2 linked regions of the Lonchura striata genome follow. The protein of the gene in region 2 purifies or fractionates together with the protein of the main gene of each other region. This does not show direct contact. Links are inferred from orthologs where the notes say so. Each region holds a gene or a part of one and is shown on either strand. Other genes may lie near its edges.

Region 1 (7,528 bases), on a different chromosome or scaffold from region 2:
TCTATTTAAGCCAAAGGATGAATATTGGCACAAAAATGAATGGATTTTTGAATAAATTTAGTCTGAAAATTAGAAGGAAGTTTCTAACCACCAAAACAATGAAATTCTGGAACAGATTTGTGACAGAAGTAGGGGGTAAACATATCAGGCTACTATTAAGATGGGGCTTGAAAAGTTTCTGCAAGGGATTATATGACACAGTTTCCTCTAATAGCAAGATAGTGGACTCAGTGACCTAAGCAGTCTCTTTCAGTTTTAAGAGCCTGCCTTCTGTTTTGTAATACCATTTCTCCATTAAGACGAGAGATCAATCCAACTAAAACCCTCAAATGTTTAAAAATTAATAAAAATTACTTTGCAAGTAAAGATTATGTTGATTATTGTAAACCCCCTTAAAATTATTACAGAAGAACAGTTACAATCTTATTCTTTCAGTATGGGAATGTCTGCTATGGGGAAATTGCCCAGATCAGATCATAAATTGTTATTTACTGTTCCAAAGCTTAAATATGGGATGCAGCATAAAGGTAATTTGAAGACATATTATATTATGCAATTAATAATAATCTTATAGGATAGGATATATTGTCTACTTATTTAACCATTGGAAAGATCACTTTTGGTTAATTAAACTGAAAATTACACAATCTGCTTATAGACAGGTAGTGATTTATTTATAAATATTACAAAATGTATATGTAGTCCAACAACCATAATGAAAACCACAGGTAATGTTCTGTACAAAGCATTTTTTTGTAATCTAAAAAAATTCTATGGGTTCTGTTACGTAAAGTAAAATCACACATATGTGGTATAATGGAATCATAGATTGATTTGGGTTGGGAGGGGACATGAAGACCATCTGGTTCCAACCCCTGTAGCATGGGCAGGGGCACCTTCCACTAGACCAGGTTGCTCAAAGCTCCATTGTACCTGGCCTTGAACATGGCTGGAGATGGGGCATCCACAGCCTCTCTGGGCAACTTGCTCCAGAGCCTCAAAATCCTCATAGTGAAGAGTTTTTCCCTAAGTATCTTTTTATTAAGAGCTTTAGTCTACAAAGAATAGCTGCTATGCCTGATGAAACTCAAAATCAGAACACTGGTAGAGGAAGTAAAACCAAAATGATGAAGCTGTTACTGATCATAGATGTTTTAAGATTCTGCTTTCTTTTGTTTTGATTTTGTGTTTTTAATTTCTTTTCCATCCACTACTATTTCTTGAAGTTTCTCTTCTTAGTATTGACCAAACACTAGTAGACCACAATTCCATTATGCCATGACTATGAGAACGTATGTTCCATCAACCTGTACACTTTATTCGCATCTTTCTTTTTTGTGATGGCCAAGAGGGACTGAGGATAAGTAGATAAAGAAGTAAGATTAAGGACAGAAAAGTAAGAGAAATATTGGGAGAAATGGTAGGGGAAAAAAGAAAAGTTGTTCTAAGCCTGGAACAAATGCCACTATATCATAGATAAATAACGTTGACAGCAGGAGGTGGCTTTAAACTATGTTCATCCTGTTATTACAATACAATATGCATCACTTGAAGGTTGCCTTGGTAAGTGCTTTTAAGATGTCTGCTCAAACATAAACTTTCCAAAATATGTCCGATTATTCCTTCTCAGTTCAAATACAGTTGACTGTTTTTTGAGAAAATAGTCCTCCATTACAGCCAGAAGGATGTCACTCTTGTTATAAGGTGATAAAGAAACTCTTGGCTCAGCTTTGTTGAATTTATCTACTCCCAGTCAATACATTTGACATTTTCTAGTAAGGTTACTGACATCAGGCCTGTCCATGAAAGAAGTGTCCATATAAATACATATGCTTCAGTTCTCTGGTGCTCATGAAGAGATTTTACTGCTTAGCATATGAGCTAATGCTAACTCTTTCAAACCATAAAAATAATTACTCTATATGAATTATTCTTAAAAGTAATCTGAATGATACATGGTTCTACAGAGGAAGAGGAATTTACATGGTTGCCTGAACTTTTTGTCCCTTTTCCTGATGTCAGTTGAAAAAATAAAGGAAAAATTATGGTGTATTTAATTACTTTTGGCTATATTTCAACATATGAATTTAAAACTAAGGTTACATGTCTATAGGGGGACAACAGTTCTGTGGAGTTATAAACTTTATTATATAAAAACATTTCATATAGTTCCAAGAGTGCAAGTGAAACCATTCAATTTTGTTTGAGCTGTGTTACCTAAAACATTAATGAAAATGTTCTATTGCTACGTAACAGACCTAGATAACACTGTTAGGTAATGTCTCTTGCTATAGCAGCGGTAAGATGCAAAGTATTCTCCAGTTACTTTTCATACCCCAGATTACTAAGAGCAATAGGTTTCTCTTAATGTGTTCCTAATTAGAAAAACACTTGTTTTCTACCATGCATTGCTAGTGCTTCAGTCCTCTTGAATTTCTTTCTGAACTCCATGAGAACATAAATGCTTATGGATAAGCACTGTTGTAGAACAAAAGGCATCTTCCTGAGATGTATGACTAGGAATGTCGGCAAATTTGTAATATGGAGGACAACTTAAAACAGCTTTGAATTTTACCAACCTAGATGATATTCCAGGCTAATGATGAGGATGGTCAGGAACTAGCTGACTTGATGGAGTGAATGGGATTCAATGTTGAAATTTCAACAGCTTTCTGGTTACATAATTAGTCTGGTAGTGTGATACTGCAGATCAAATGTTTTATCAATTTATAGGGCAACTTTGATACCTTCAAAATGGGTGATGATGCATGCAGACATGACACTTTCCTCGTTGGCAATGGTTGTATTAGAGTGCTTTGCCATCAGCTCACGTAATTTTTTGCAGGCAAGCTGCTGCCAGCCCTGAGGGAACTCTGTCCCTCCACACCAAATAGCCCTTCCAAGCTTCATCTAATGAGCAGTATGTCTTGCAAAAAAAGCGCCAAAACCAGCAAAACCAAATCCACATTAATTCCACTCAACAACATAGAGTAACAGTGCTGGAGAAGCTTTTGGCTTGAGTTGTTGATTGGAGCTAGTGTCTCTGGGTGGCATCATTGGGAAGAAATTAGATGTATTGTTGTGACAATGGACGATAGAAAATTTTCTCGTCTCTCCCACACATGAAAATTATTAGCCAAACACATCAAAGGTGGTGGAGAGAGGAGACATCCCTTCAACGACTCCTGCGCCGCTCGTGAGGGAGGCTGTCCCTCAGGCTGATCCCGCGGGAGGCTCCAGCTCCCGACTGGAAATGGCGCCAGCCGCTGAAACCCAGCGCCTTGCGCACGCAAGAGCCGCTCTCTCCCCGGGGGACGCTGCTGCGCATAGTTGACACGGATTGATCCCGGCTAGAGAAGGCAGGGCGGGCATTGCGCTGTCTCTCTCTCCCTCTTCTGGGCAGAGGAGGATGGGTAGATGGAGCAGAGCGGGACCAGCGCGCCAGACGGTCCTCGAAGGAGCGGGCGCTGGTGCCATGGCCAGCGACGGGGAAGGAGCCGCGCAAGGGAAGCGCGCATCCTCCATTTTGGCGAAGGGCGGGCGGAGAGTTGGCTCCCGGCGCCTGGCCGGAGCAGTCGCTCCCACCCCGCGGCATTGCCGGGGGCACCCGGCTCCTTTTCCCGCGGGGAAGCCGTAAGGAGGCTGTTCAAATGGACGCCCCGCTGCGCCTCACGTTGGTTCGAATTGGTACCAAGCTCCCCGCAGCGGCTTCCGACAAAATGGAGGACGCCACCACCACTGCCACCACCAACACCACCACCACCACCATCTCCTCCAGGAGCCATGTCGGCGGCTGATATGGCGCCCTCCCCCGCGGCAGGCGGGGGCAGCAAGGCGTCCTCGGCTGAGGAGGCGCTGCTCGGCGGGGCAGGCTGCGGGGACGCGGGTCAGGCGCCCTCCCTAGGAGACGCGAACTCTCCCTTTTCCCTCTGGGAACGCTTCCATTACCCATGCTCTATCCACCATGGGAATGACCCCAGGTTCAAAACCCTGGTGAGGGGAAGGAAGGAGCGGAGTGGGGCCCTTTGGAAAAGCACTGCCAGCCCCTATGGCTCAGCGCGGGGTCCGGAGTGGGAGAGGAGAGCCCGCGCCCCACGGCCGTAGCGGTGGCGCCCGCAGGGAGCGAGCGCACGGCCGGGACGGCTAGCGCACCCTGCCCGCGGCCGGCGGCGCGCAGCCGGCTCGGCGGCACCGAGAACTTCTGCGAGTTGCCGCTGTCAAACAGCGGCGCGGGGAGCGCCAGCGCAACCCTTGGGCACGGGTAACAAGCCGGTCAGTGGGCAGCGATCCGGGTTCCTCAAACCTGATGGATCAAAGTGGGAAGAACCCCAAGCATGGCCAAGAGGAAGATTGGCAGTTTATAGGGTCAACCGGCTGCGGGCGGCTCTGATGGATGGGCGGCGCACCCACTCGGCTAGCCCAGCGCCAGAGCCCGCCCTCTGGGAAAGCCAATGCCGGGGCAGGGAGGCGGATCTCCCCGAGCTCCCTTGGCCCGGTTCCTCCTCCTCTTCGCCAGCGGCTGCGCTTCGCCCGGGACTGGACCGAGTTAGAGTTGAGGCGCCGGAGGAGTAGCGCAGAGTGCGTGCGTCCCCCGCGGGGGGGTTCGTGCCCGCAGGCGGTGGGGAGCCGGGTAAGGCGCGGACACGGGGCGCTGCGCCTCACCGGGGCGGGCTGGCGGGGGGCTGGCAGCGCTTAGCTGCCCCCAGGGCGGGGATGGGAGGGCAACCGCCGTGCCTCACAGCTACCCGGCCAAGTACCCCGCGGTGTCGCTGCCGCGCCGCCACCTCTGGCGGCGGGGATGCGGGCGGCACCGGGGGCAATCCCGCGCATAACCATCGCGCCGCGGCGGGGGGCGGTGGGGAAAAATGGGGGGCGCCCGGGGGCAGCCCCGAAGGGGGGGGGCAGGGGTATCTGGGGGAAGGGCCGGGTCTGCTCTAGCGCCTCCTATTTTAACTCTCTCCGTCCCTTCCCCGCCGGGCCCTCGGCTGTTGTTCTGCCCCTGTGCCTCCCCCACCCACCGCCCTCGCAGCCCCCCCGCGGGTACCTCCCTCCCATCCTCTCCCCTCCCCTGCCCGGCGCTCCGCGGCTCCCCTCCCGTATTGTTCGGCTGGGTCCCTCTAATGGCGGACAGGAGGCGGTAGTGCCGCTGGCCGACTGCAGGGGGGCAAACCCGAGACCGGGGGCAACTGCCGCGGGGGGCGCGGGCGCTCGCCCGGCGCCGGGGCCGTGCCGCTGAGGGCCCCGCGGCCGCTCCGGGCGCCGGTTCGGGGCTTACAGGGCAAGTTCGCAGGTAACACTCGCTGCTCCCCGCCGTGGGTGCCGCCGCTGCCTCTGTCCCCCACACTCGCGGTAGAAGCCCCCCGGTGTGGCGGCGCCCGGGGACAGCTCCTTGTCCCTCCTTCCTTCAGCGGGGACAAGCTGCGTGGGTGTGCCGTGAGGTGTACCCCACCGCCCCCGGCGAGGGCAGTAGATTTGTTTGTTTGTTTATTTATTTGAAAGATTGGGATTAAAGGGAAGTGGTGAGTGATGCAGGCAGTACCTGCCCTGGCCAGGCGATGGAAACGCTCCTTGGGGGCGCTGCCTGATCCTCGCTGCCCCGTGTTAACCCCATGTCTTTCCCTTAGGCTCCAGCCCAGTTTGGTGCAGCCTTGGCAGCGACCAACAAGGAGAGGGAGCTCCATTGTGAGTGCTATTTGTGTATCTGTTTCTGCCTTTGCCAGACCTCCTAACAGCGGGCTTGAACCATTCCCCCCGCCCCGTATTCTCCTGGGGCAAGGGGTGGAATGAGGTCCCTCTAGGGCTGGGTGGGGAAATTCCTGCGTTCAGTAGCCGCTGCCCTGGGGCGAAGCCCCAGTAATGGCTGTGAGGCGGCTCCTCCTCGGAGTGGGCGCTGCTGCTGCTGCAGACATCGCTCCTGCAATACCAACTCCGGCAGGCAGACGACGGGCTGCTGCCGCTGCTCACGTTACCCGGCTCGGGAGGGAGGAGGAGGAGGGCATATTTCGGGTGCCCTCTAGAGTTGTGTAGCGTGCGTGAACACCCGTGACAAGACACCTTCAGCCATCTTGAATTTTTCTCCCCTCCTCCATTGCTCGAATCACGTGTCCCGCGTATCATCTCGAAGCTAAGAAGAGGCATGGGAGGTTTAAAATCACCCAGCAGTTTGTAATGGAGAAGCACGCTCCATGGTCTCTTTGTGACTGGTTCACAGACTGGTTCTCTACACCCGCAGATTTGTATGGGTGGTCTTGTTGGGTTTCTTGGCTGGGCTTCTGAGCCATCCACTTTGTCCCTTCCCCGGGAAGCTGGAGGACACTGGTGAAACCCACAGGTAGCGAGCATTTTTGGTGTTTTGTCTATGTGGAATTTTGAGAGCAGATTTTGATCTCTGTTGGGTGTTAGGTTGGCTAAGGAGAGGCTTGTTGCCTGCCAATACCTGTGGGTAGGACTGGGATATAACTTGAATCTAGCTTCTACCCTTGTTAATATTGGGGCTGTATTTTTATCTGCATGGGGGATTCCGAAATGGCCAAGTAGCGCGGCGAAGGAGCGAGTGAGGGTGCGAGCGCTCGGGAGAGGCTCGGGAGCTGCCGCGGCGGGCCCGGGCGCGGTGCGCGGGCTGCGCCGCCAGAGGCGCCGGCGGCAGCGCGGCGGCTCCGCCAGGAGCGCGCAGCCCGAGAACAAAACAAAAAGGCAGCGCCTCTCTCGCCCTATGGGTCCCTCGCTTGGTTACAGCACGGATTCAGGTGTTGCGGTCTTCCCCAACACTCGTATCTTGGATTTCCCCCCCGCCCCGTTTCTGTCCCTTTCTGTTTTACATTTTCCAGATTCGCAGAGCTTGCAACTTTCTTTGTCACTTTTTGGTGGCTTACATATACAAAGAATAAGTCGTTCGCTGCAAAGCCTCACTGCTTAGGATGAGGACATCAGATCTCTATTTGTTCTGCACGTATAAAATTATGAACTGCATCAAAGACTTGTAAGAGTTTACATGGCATGTTATCTTTAATAAAGTTGTCTGTTCCAACCCTTGACTTGCTACAGCAGCTTAAAATTTTGAACAGTAATTTTTAAATTCTTACCATATCTTGGATGCAAGGCTACCATCTGATTTTACTTCTGATTCATTTTTTATGCATTCCAGTCTAATAGCTGTTCTTTTTTTTCCGATTATCCTTCATGTCAAATAAAGTTACTTTAAGGAAATATCAAGGCAAATGATGCTTTGGAAGAAGGGAGACTGTTGTGTACTGGAGGTGGTAGGTGGCACATTGTCCTCCTCCAGCTGCAATGATGGTGGTATAGCCTTCTTATGGCATGTGATAGGACCATGCTGTTCGGGGTATTTGGTGCTTAGTGCTGCAAGGTCATCTCTAGGAACCAAACTCGTCAGCCATGTTATTTGGTGGTTAAGCTAAGTAACTTATTTTAATAGAAGTCTGTCTTAATTAGAGCAATAAATTAATTTTATTATCTACTAAATTGGCTTTATATTGTTGTTATTAATCCTCTCCAACCTCAAATATAT
Region 2 (7,031 bases):
GCAACCAGGACTGCCTGCCCTGCTCCAAATGAACTGGCTTCCCTCCTCCTTCCCCACAAATTAACTCCATCTCCAGCTGTCCCTGCGCAAGCTTCCTGTAAGATTAATTATTCTTTGTGCACACACGTTTGATGATTTACCCAGCAAACCAGGCACAATGATCAGGAATTCTCCATTTCCATCAGCGCTCTCCCCTGAGGCTCAGAAGTTTTCTGGGCAGGTCCCTCACCCTGGCACAGGCACAGGAAGAAATGTGGCTCCTCAGAAGGTCCACATGAGTCACCAAGGACCAGTCAGTATTTGTGATGCTGCTGCAAGGTCAGCTGAAGAAGATGTGCTCCAGAACAGCCCTCAGTGCCAGTCAGCAGGGCTGGCACTGACGCCAGTCTAAGTGGGAACATCAATGATCCCAAAAAGGTGTGTCCCCAGCTACGCTGCCCCATGACCCAAGATTTCCCCCGTGTTTAGCAAGGCACAACGAGCTGTGTTTGTTTGCACTGTCACCTTTCAGAAGGTGTAATTTGCAAGAGCCAGAAGTTACCGTGTGAGGAGTCACCTCCAGGCTGGTTCCGGCTGTGATCTCACACACCACAGCACCGAGAAGTCACCGCGCCAGACTCGCCTGGCTCAGGAAATGGAAAGCACCAAATCGTGGTGCTGAGGGCCAGACCTGCCAGGGGTGAGACTTTGTGTCTTCTCCTGGAAGCAGTTTATTAGCCTGGAAAGTCACAGTTGGCCACAGAAGGTGTGGGGGGGCATATACAATGTAAAATGAGTTGATTCCACACAGCTCTCCTCACAGCCCAGTAGGAAGCCAGAGGATGTCAGGTTGTCTGATCCCTCTAGTGCCGAGCCCACAGTGCTCAACAGGGCTCACAAGTCTCTTTAAGATCTCTTTTGCTGTTACAGCAAAAGGATGTTTCAAGCAGCTACAGGAACCTCTTCCTCTGAGGGTGGGACACTTCCTTCATCCAGGAAGAAGGAGAGGGTGCCCAAGAAATGAAGTATGGAAGGTTTAAGCACCAGCAGGAGGGAGAACACACAGCAAAGTGTCACCCTGTGCTTGGCAGAAGTTGGTTTCACACCCAAATGTGACTTAACTGGGTGAGTTCTGACACCAGTAATGGAAAGTTTCTAGCCCAGCTCATGAAGCCACTGTACATGAAACAGTCTAGAAGAGCTGCTCAGTGATCTCAGCACAACAGAAGCATCAATCACATGGAGCCCACATCAGATTTCGGCTCAATGCATCTGACAGCTTTCCTAGAGCTCTTACCCAGCTCTTACCAGAATCCCTGCACTAGCCCCAAACACCAGATCCCACAGCAAAACCCCTCCTGAGTTCAGGACCTGTACTTAACACCAGACCCTGATACTTCTCCGAATCAAGGCAATAAGGATGCAGAAAGGAGGTCTAGAACAAAGAGAAGCCTTTCTCCTTCCCTACAACAACACCAGGAAGCAGAGGAGAGCTGGTGTAGAATAGAACCTGGCAGGTCCTCCTCAAATGGGAGTTGTAGAGGCAGCAGCAAGTAGTTTTGGCCAGCTGGCAGCACAAAGGGCCAGCACACCAAACCCTCTAAGGCCAAACTCTCATCCCTCCCAAGAAGCACCTTCAGGAATGGATGGAAGTCAATGGGATGGGCCGAGGGAAGTCAGCCAGACTTCATTAGGAACATCTTTGCTGGAAGTGCATCCAGGAGTATTCTCCAAGGAGATAAACGCTGGATCTGCGACTGTTTTGCTCTGACAGGAGTTTAACAGGCTACAAGTTTACACTTGTCCTAGATACTTTTTTTTTCCACAAGAAGCTTCCAAAAGCTATTGCAGACAACTGGGAGAGGTGCTCTCAAAAGCAAGGCACCGGCAGGCAGAGGCACCATCATCCAGGCTGACAGCTCTTGAACAGAGACTTCACATTTTACATTACTTGGTCTTTTTTCCCCCCTCCAATAATTTGTTACAAAGGAAGCAGCATGCACACACGAGAAGCAAGCAAGACCTCAGGGAAAACAGCAAATTGGTTCACATTTCCACAGCACTGAGCACAAAGCTGACTTGCAAATGCGAATGACTTCTCTCAGGCGGGGGAGGAAGCTCCCAGTTTGGATGATCCGAGCCCAGCCAGCTCATTTCCCTGCAGTCCAGCCCCATCCCTCTGCTCCGACGGACTGCACCAGCCACGAGCATGGCCTGAGCCTTGCGTGGAGCAACAACAACTCCTGCTCCAGACCACTGCTGGCACTCACAGGACCTCGTACACACCGCGGACATCTCCCACACTCGCAGAGCCACAACTCCAATGCCCCAGTTCATTCGAGACGTTACAACACGGCTGCTGGCTGCGGACGGTGCCTGCGAGCCGGTGGGTGGGTGCCGCTCCTGCCGGGACACGGCATCGCCCACCTCCGCCCAGTTCCCTGCCCAACACATTCGCGTCCGTCCGACCCAGGGCACCAGGCTCGGGGCTGTGCCGGGGCGATGCCGGCAGCCCTGGGAAGCCGCAGGACTCCGGGAAAGCCGAACGAGACGGGCGAGCCCCTCCGCCACCTCCCGCTGCCACCCTGGGCACCCGCCAGCTCCGGAGGCTGCCGTGGCACAGCCCCGCGCTGGGGCGTTGTGGGAAGGGGGTTGGGAGGATGTTTCCTTATTTTATGGGATAGGAGCAAAAAGTAAGAGGAGGAAGCGGAGGAAGGAGGAAATAATCCAGCAGGTTGCTCCCATCAGCCCCTCCCGGCCGCCGCATGGCAGCGGGGGCGGCAGCGATGGGGCAGCCCCGGAGCCGCCGGTCCGCAGAGCCGGGGGAGGAAGCCCGGCCGCGGGCCGGGGCAGCCCGCGAGCCCCTCCCCGGGATATCCGCCCCGCGGGGCACGGCAGGCCGCGGGCTCACCTCGGTACTGCAGCGAGCCCGAGAGCCGCACGGTGACGGTGCCGGCCAGCGGCTCGCCGGGGCTGTAGACGACGCGGCTGTCGCCCAGGCGGATCTCGAAGAGCTGCACCTTGCCCATGGCCGCGCCGGCCCGGCCGCTCCGCTCCGCTCCGCTCCGCTCGCACCTGCGGCCCGCGCTGTGCCGGCCCCGGCGGGCGGGACCGCCCCGGCCCGCCCCGCCCCGGCCGCGCTGAGGGAGCGGGGCGGGCCCGGCGCCGCGAGTGCGGGGGTGCCGAGTGCCCGGGGAACGGGGCAATTGTGCGGCCAGGCTGTGAGGGAAGGGTAGCTGATGGACCCCTCATTGCTGCAGGGTCGGGCTATGGAGTAAGGGGTAGCTGATGCAGCCCTGACTATTAGAAGGGAAGGAGCCGTGGAGGAAAGGGCAGCTTCAGGGGCTGGGCTGTGCTGGGAGGGAAGGGATTGCCTGTGAGGTCAGGCTGGGAGGGAAGGAGCAGATTGTGGGGCTGAGCTGTGAGGGAAAGAGAATGGTGGGTCCCTGACTGCTCTGAGGGAAGGAGCAGGTTGTGGGGTCAGGCTGGGAGGGAAAGGAGCCACTGTGGGGCTGGGCTCTGAGGGAGAGAAGTGGTTGGGGCAGGCTCTGAGGGAAAGAAGGGGTTGTGGGGTCGGATGTGAGGGAAAGGAGTGGTTGTGGGGTCGGGCTCTGGGGGAAAGGAGTGGTTGTGGGGTCGGGCTCTGGGGGAAAGGAGTGGTTGTGGGGTCGGGCTCTGGGGGAAGGAGCTGACTGCCCAACACAGGGCCGTCTTGCCTCCTGGTGATCCCTGCTCCCTCTAATCTCATTTCCTCCCTGTAATTCTCCAGCCCCAGCTGTCACCTCTCCCTGCTCCTGTTTGTATGACCCCAGTTGCTTTAAGTGTCCTGTAAGAGGCAAATACAAGGGACCTGACAACAAACTGGGACTGGGGCTGAAGAGTCATTGATGACCCCGTACTCTCTGTGGATCAGTGGGTGAAGGTCAGAGTGTTCCAGGAAGCCAGGGATGACCAGCGCACTTCATACATTTGCCATGTTCTCCCCTCATCTCTGCCTGATTGAATAAAAACCATCTGTAAAACCCACACCAAAGGCAGCGCCAGGAAAAGGCACCTCCCGGCCGCTGGCGAGCAGGCTGTGTACACAGGCAGAATGAATAAGTGTAAAAGGAGCTGTTTATCTGCAGAGCACACCCAGCCCAGACCTGGCTGGACAGACAGACATCCTCCCACGGCCCCACAGTGACACCAGCCTGGGGATGTGGGGCTGTGGGACTCTCCGTGCTGCCTTGTGGTGGCTCTGGCAACCTGAAAACCCTCACAAGGTACCAAAGGAGTTCGTGTGCTCCAGGCACACAGGGCTCCTGCTGGGAAGCCTTTCCAGGGCCTCCCTCCTCCTCTGGTTTCCAGGCTGCGTGTAGTCACAGGCTACAGACACACAACAGTCTTGTGCCAAGGCTTTCTGCAGCTCATCTCCTCCCGCAGGGCGTACCCTGGGATCCGTCCGCACACCGCTCTCCTTGTGCTGCCCTTAGCTTCTGTTTTCCCAGGCTAGGCACGCCAATTTGCTCCAGCCTTTTTATTTTGTAAGACGAGCCTGCAGCCTCTTTCATCAGTCTCTGCAGCCCCTATTTAGCTCTGCCAGCAAAACCAAGCAAATTAGGAGAAGAGAGGGGGGTTGAAAACACCCTGAGCTACAGCAGATTTTACTGAACCCTTTTTCCCCATGGAAAGTAGCCAAAGGATCATGCTTTGAGGCACAATTAGGGCTACACCATCTCTGGGGCAGCACTGGCACCCTTGCCCAAGAGGGACACCACACATGTGACAACTCAGGGTGGAAAAACCCTTCACCAAACCCAAGCCCCTTGTGCCATGCTGCAGCTTCACCTGACATGGAGATTTATGCACTTTGTTTGCAGAGAAGATAATTTTAAGCACAGCAAAGTTGCTCGCCCAAGGTCACAACGTGAGTAAAAAGGATTCCTGCATCAGGAGCTGAACAAAAGCACCCAGGCACAGCTTCAGTTCTGCAAGGATTTGTGCTAAGATACACAGAGTCCCTCGTCATGCCATGGCCAGCAGCAATGCCACAGGACAGCTCCATCCCCTGGATCACAGCTACACTGGGTAGAGCAGTCTGTAAAATGTAACTGGATTGATATAATTGAAGCATGGAGAAGAAAAGGTTTCAGGGAGACTCCATTACAGCCTTCTAGTATCTTAAGGAGGCTTTAAAAAATGGAAAGAGAGGGACTTTTTATATGGCTAGGTAGTGACAAGACAAGGGACAGTGGTTTTAAACTGACAGAGAGCAGGGTTAGATTGGATGTTAGGAAGAAAAATCCTTCTTAGGGGAAGGTGAGGCCCTGGCACAGGTTCCCCAGAGGAGATGAGGCCCTGGCACAGGTCCCCCAGAGGAGCTGTGGCTGCCCCTGGATTCCTGGAATTGTGCAAGGCCAGGCTGGACAGAGATTGAAACATCCTAGGATATAGTGTAAGGTGTCCCTGCCCATGGCAGGGGATGCAATGAGAGATGATCTTTAAGTTCCCAAACCAGTCTGTGACTCTATAATTCAATGTATACAATGCCTGCAGTGCCAGGGCGCCCATCATCCCCCCAGTGATGCCATATTCAGGAGGATTTTACTCACTGCAGTCAAAACGTGTATTTACATTCCTACCTCCCTGCTCACCCCAGAGCCATTCCTCTTATCTATTTGTGTGAGGACTCATTGGAGTTAAAACTCAGAGCAGTTTAAAAAAAAAGTAAGCTAAGGATGTTTAGTAAACTGCCATGGTTTGCTTTCTGATATTTTTGACTATTGTTTTGCTTAAAAAAAAAAAATGTTTTGAAGAGTTTTGTTGTTGTGGTGGGAAATCTCACTTCCTCTGCATTCTGTGTGCTCTCCCTGCTTCCCTTCCCCCTTATTAAAAGGGAAATTTAAAAAGAGAGAAGAAAAATGTCAAGACAAGCTCTAGAATAAAATTTTCCTTTCAGATGTCACCACATTCCCCTAACTTCAAGGAACATGAAATTTTCTGACAAAGAACATAGTAGTTATTAAAAGGGAAAAAAATTATCAATAAACTCCCTCTCAGCAGCACCTGAGCCGGGCTTTGCCAGCAGCACAGACGAGCTGGAAGCACAGGTGCTGGCAGAGCAGCTGTCAGTGGTGCCACATGTGGGGAAAATGTGCCCACGGAGGGCTCAGCTGTGGCCGCAAGTGCGAGACGCACAAGCCTCCACCATTAAGTCACAGACATTGCTTGTCACTTCTGTTTGTTCCCCTCTTGTCTTTCCAGGAGTTTCCAGACGCGGACGCTGACACGGAGGAGGCGCAGCCCCACCTGAGCGTGCCTCAGTTTCCCCTGCGCCGGGGCTGCTCCGGGAGAGGCAGCGCGGAAATGCCTGGGCGCACCCGGGCCGTGGCTGACGCCGCGTTCCCGGCGGCGGCAGCGGCGCGGCTCCCCTGGGGCACTTCGTACCTCCAGGTCATTTCCACCTGCCCCGCGGCTGCAGGGGACAGGGGCGAGCCTGGCAGGCGGCACCGCGGGGACACCCAGAGCCTCTCCTGCTCTCTTGTGACAAGATGAGTCTGTCTCTCCGCCCTCAAATTCTCTTTTGCGTTTGCAATCTCTCCCCCCACTCCTACTTGGTTTGGCGAGGGCGTGACTGGCGTGAGCCCACCCCGCCCCATAAGGGCAGGCACCGGAGCGGCTGTGATGGAGGGGGAAGTAAAGCAGCAGAGCTTTGTGCAAGTTGACCTTTAGGTTTCTAAAGTTTCCTTTGAACGAAAAAAGACACATGTGAACTGTCGTGGTGGGCTCCCCGTGCTACCTACACCACTGACAGCCATTCTGTATTCCTGTGTACATAAAATCCATTACCTTAATATATTTATATTACACAGGTTTATTACCTTTCTAAATAATTTCCCTGCTTCACTCAGTGCCTCATCTCTTCTCAGCTGATTTGCCGGCGGGTAAACTACGTCATCTGATACCAACAGCAACAACAATTACTCATTTGTTTCAGGCTGACACCTTCCAGCAGTTCAGGCAGAGGTGGTACCGTTCAGCCACACCTCCCTGCAGAGTCTCTCTCCTCG

The links.
Region 1: the proteins of ARRDC1 (region 2) and ZMYM2 purify together in Homo sapiens (affinity purification with mass spectrometry; 3 studies listed by BioGRID and IntAct, counting the BioPlex papers as one, with this or other methods). This does not show direct contact. The link is inferred for Lonchura striata from reciprocal best matches to the Homo sapiens genes ARRDC1 and ZMYM2.

What each region holds. Positions count from the first base shown.
Region 1 is NC_134604.1:72,085,089-72,092,616, reverse strand, and holds the start of ZMYM2 (zinc finger MYM-type protein 2), read left to right. Parts: upstream 1-4,490; 5' UTR 4,491-4,630; intron 4,631-5,624; 5' UTR 5,625-5,682; intron 5,683-7,528. UniProt on the Homo sapiens protein: Involved in the negative regulation of transcription.
Region 2 is NC_134624.1:4,150,727-4,157,757, forward strand, and holds the start of ARRDC1 (arrestin domain-containing protein 1), read right to left. Parts: upstream 3,084-7,031; 5' UTR 3,009-3,083; coding exon 2,891-3,008; intron 1-2,890. UniProt on the Homo sapiens protein: Functions as an adapter recruiting ubiquitin-protein ligases to their specific substrates. Through an ubiquitination-dependent mechanism plays for instance a role in the incorporation of SLC11A2 into extracellular vesicles.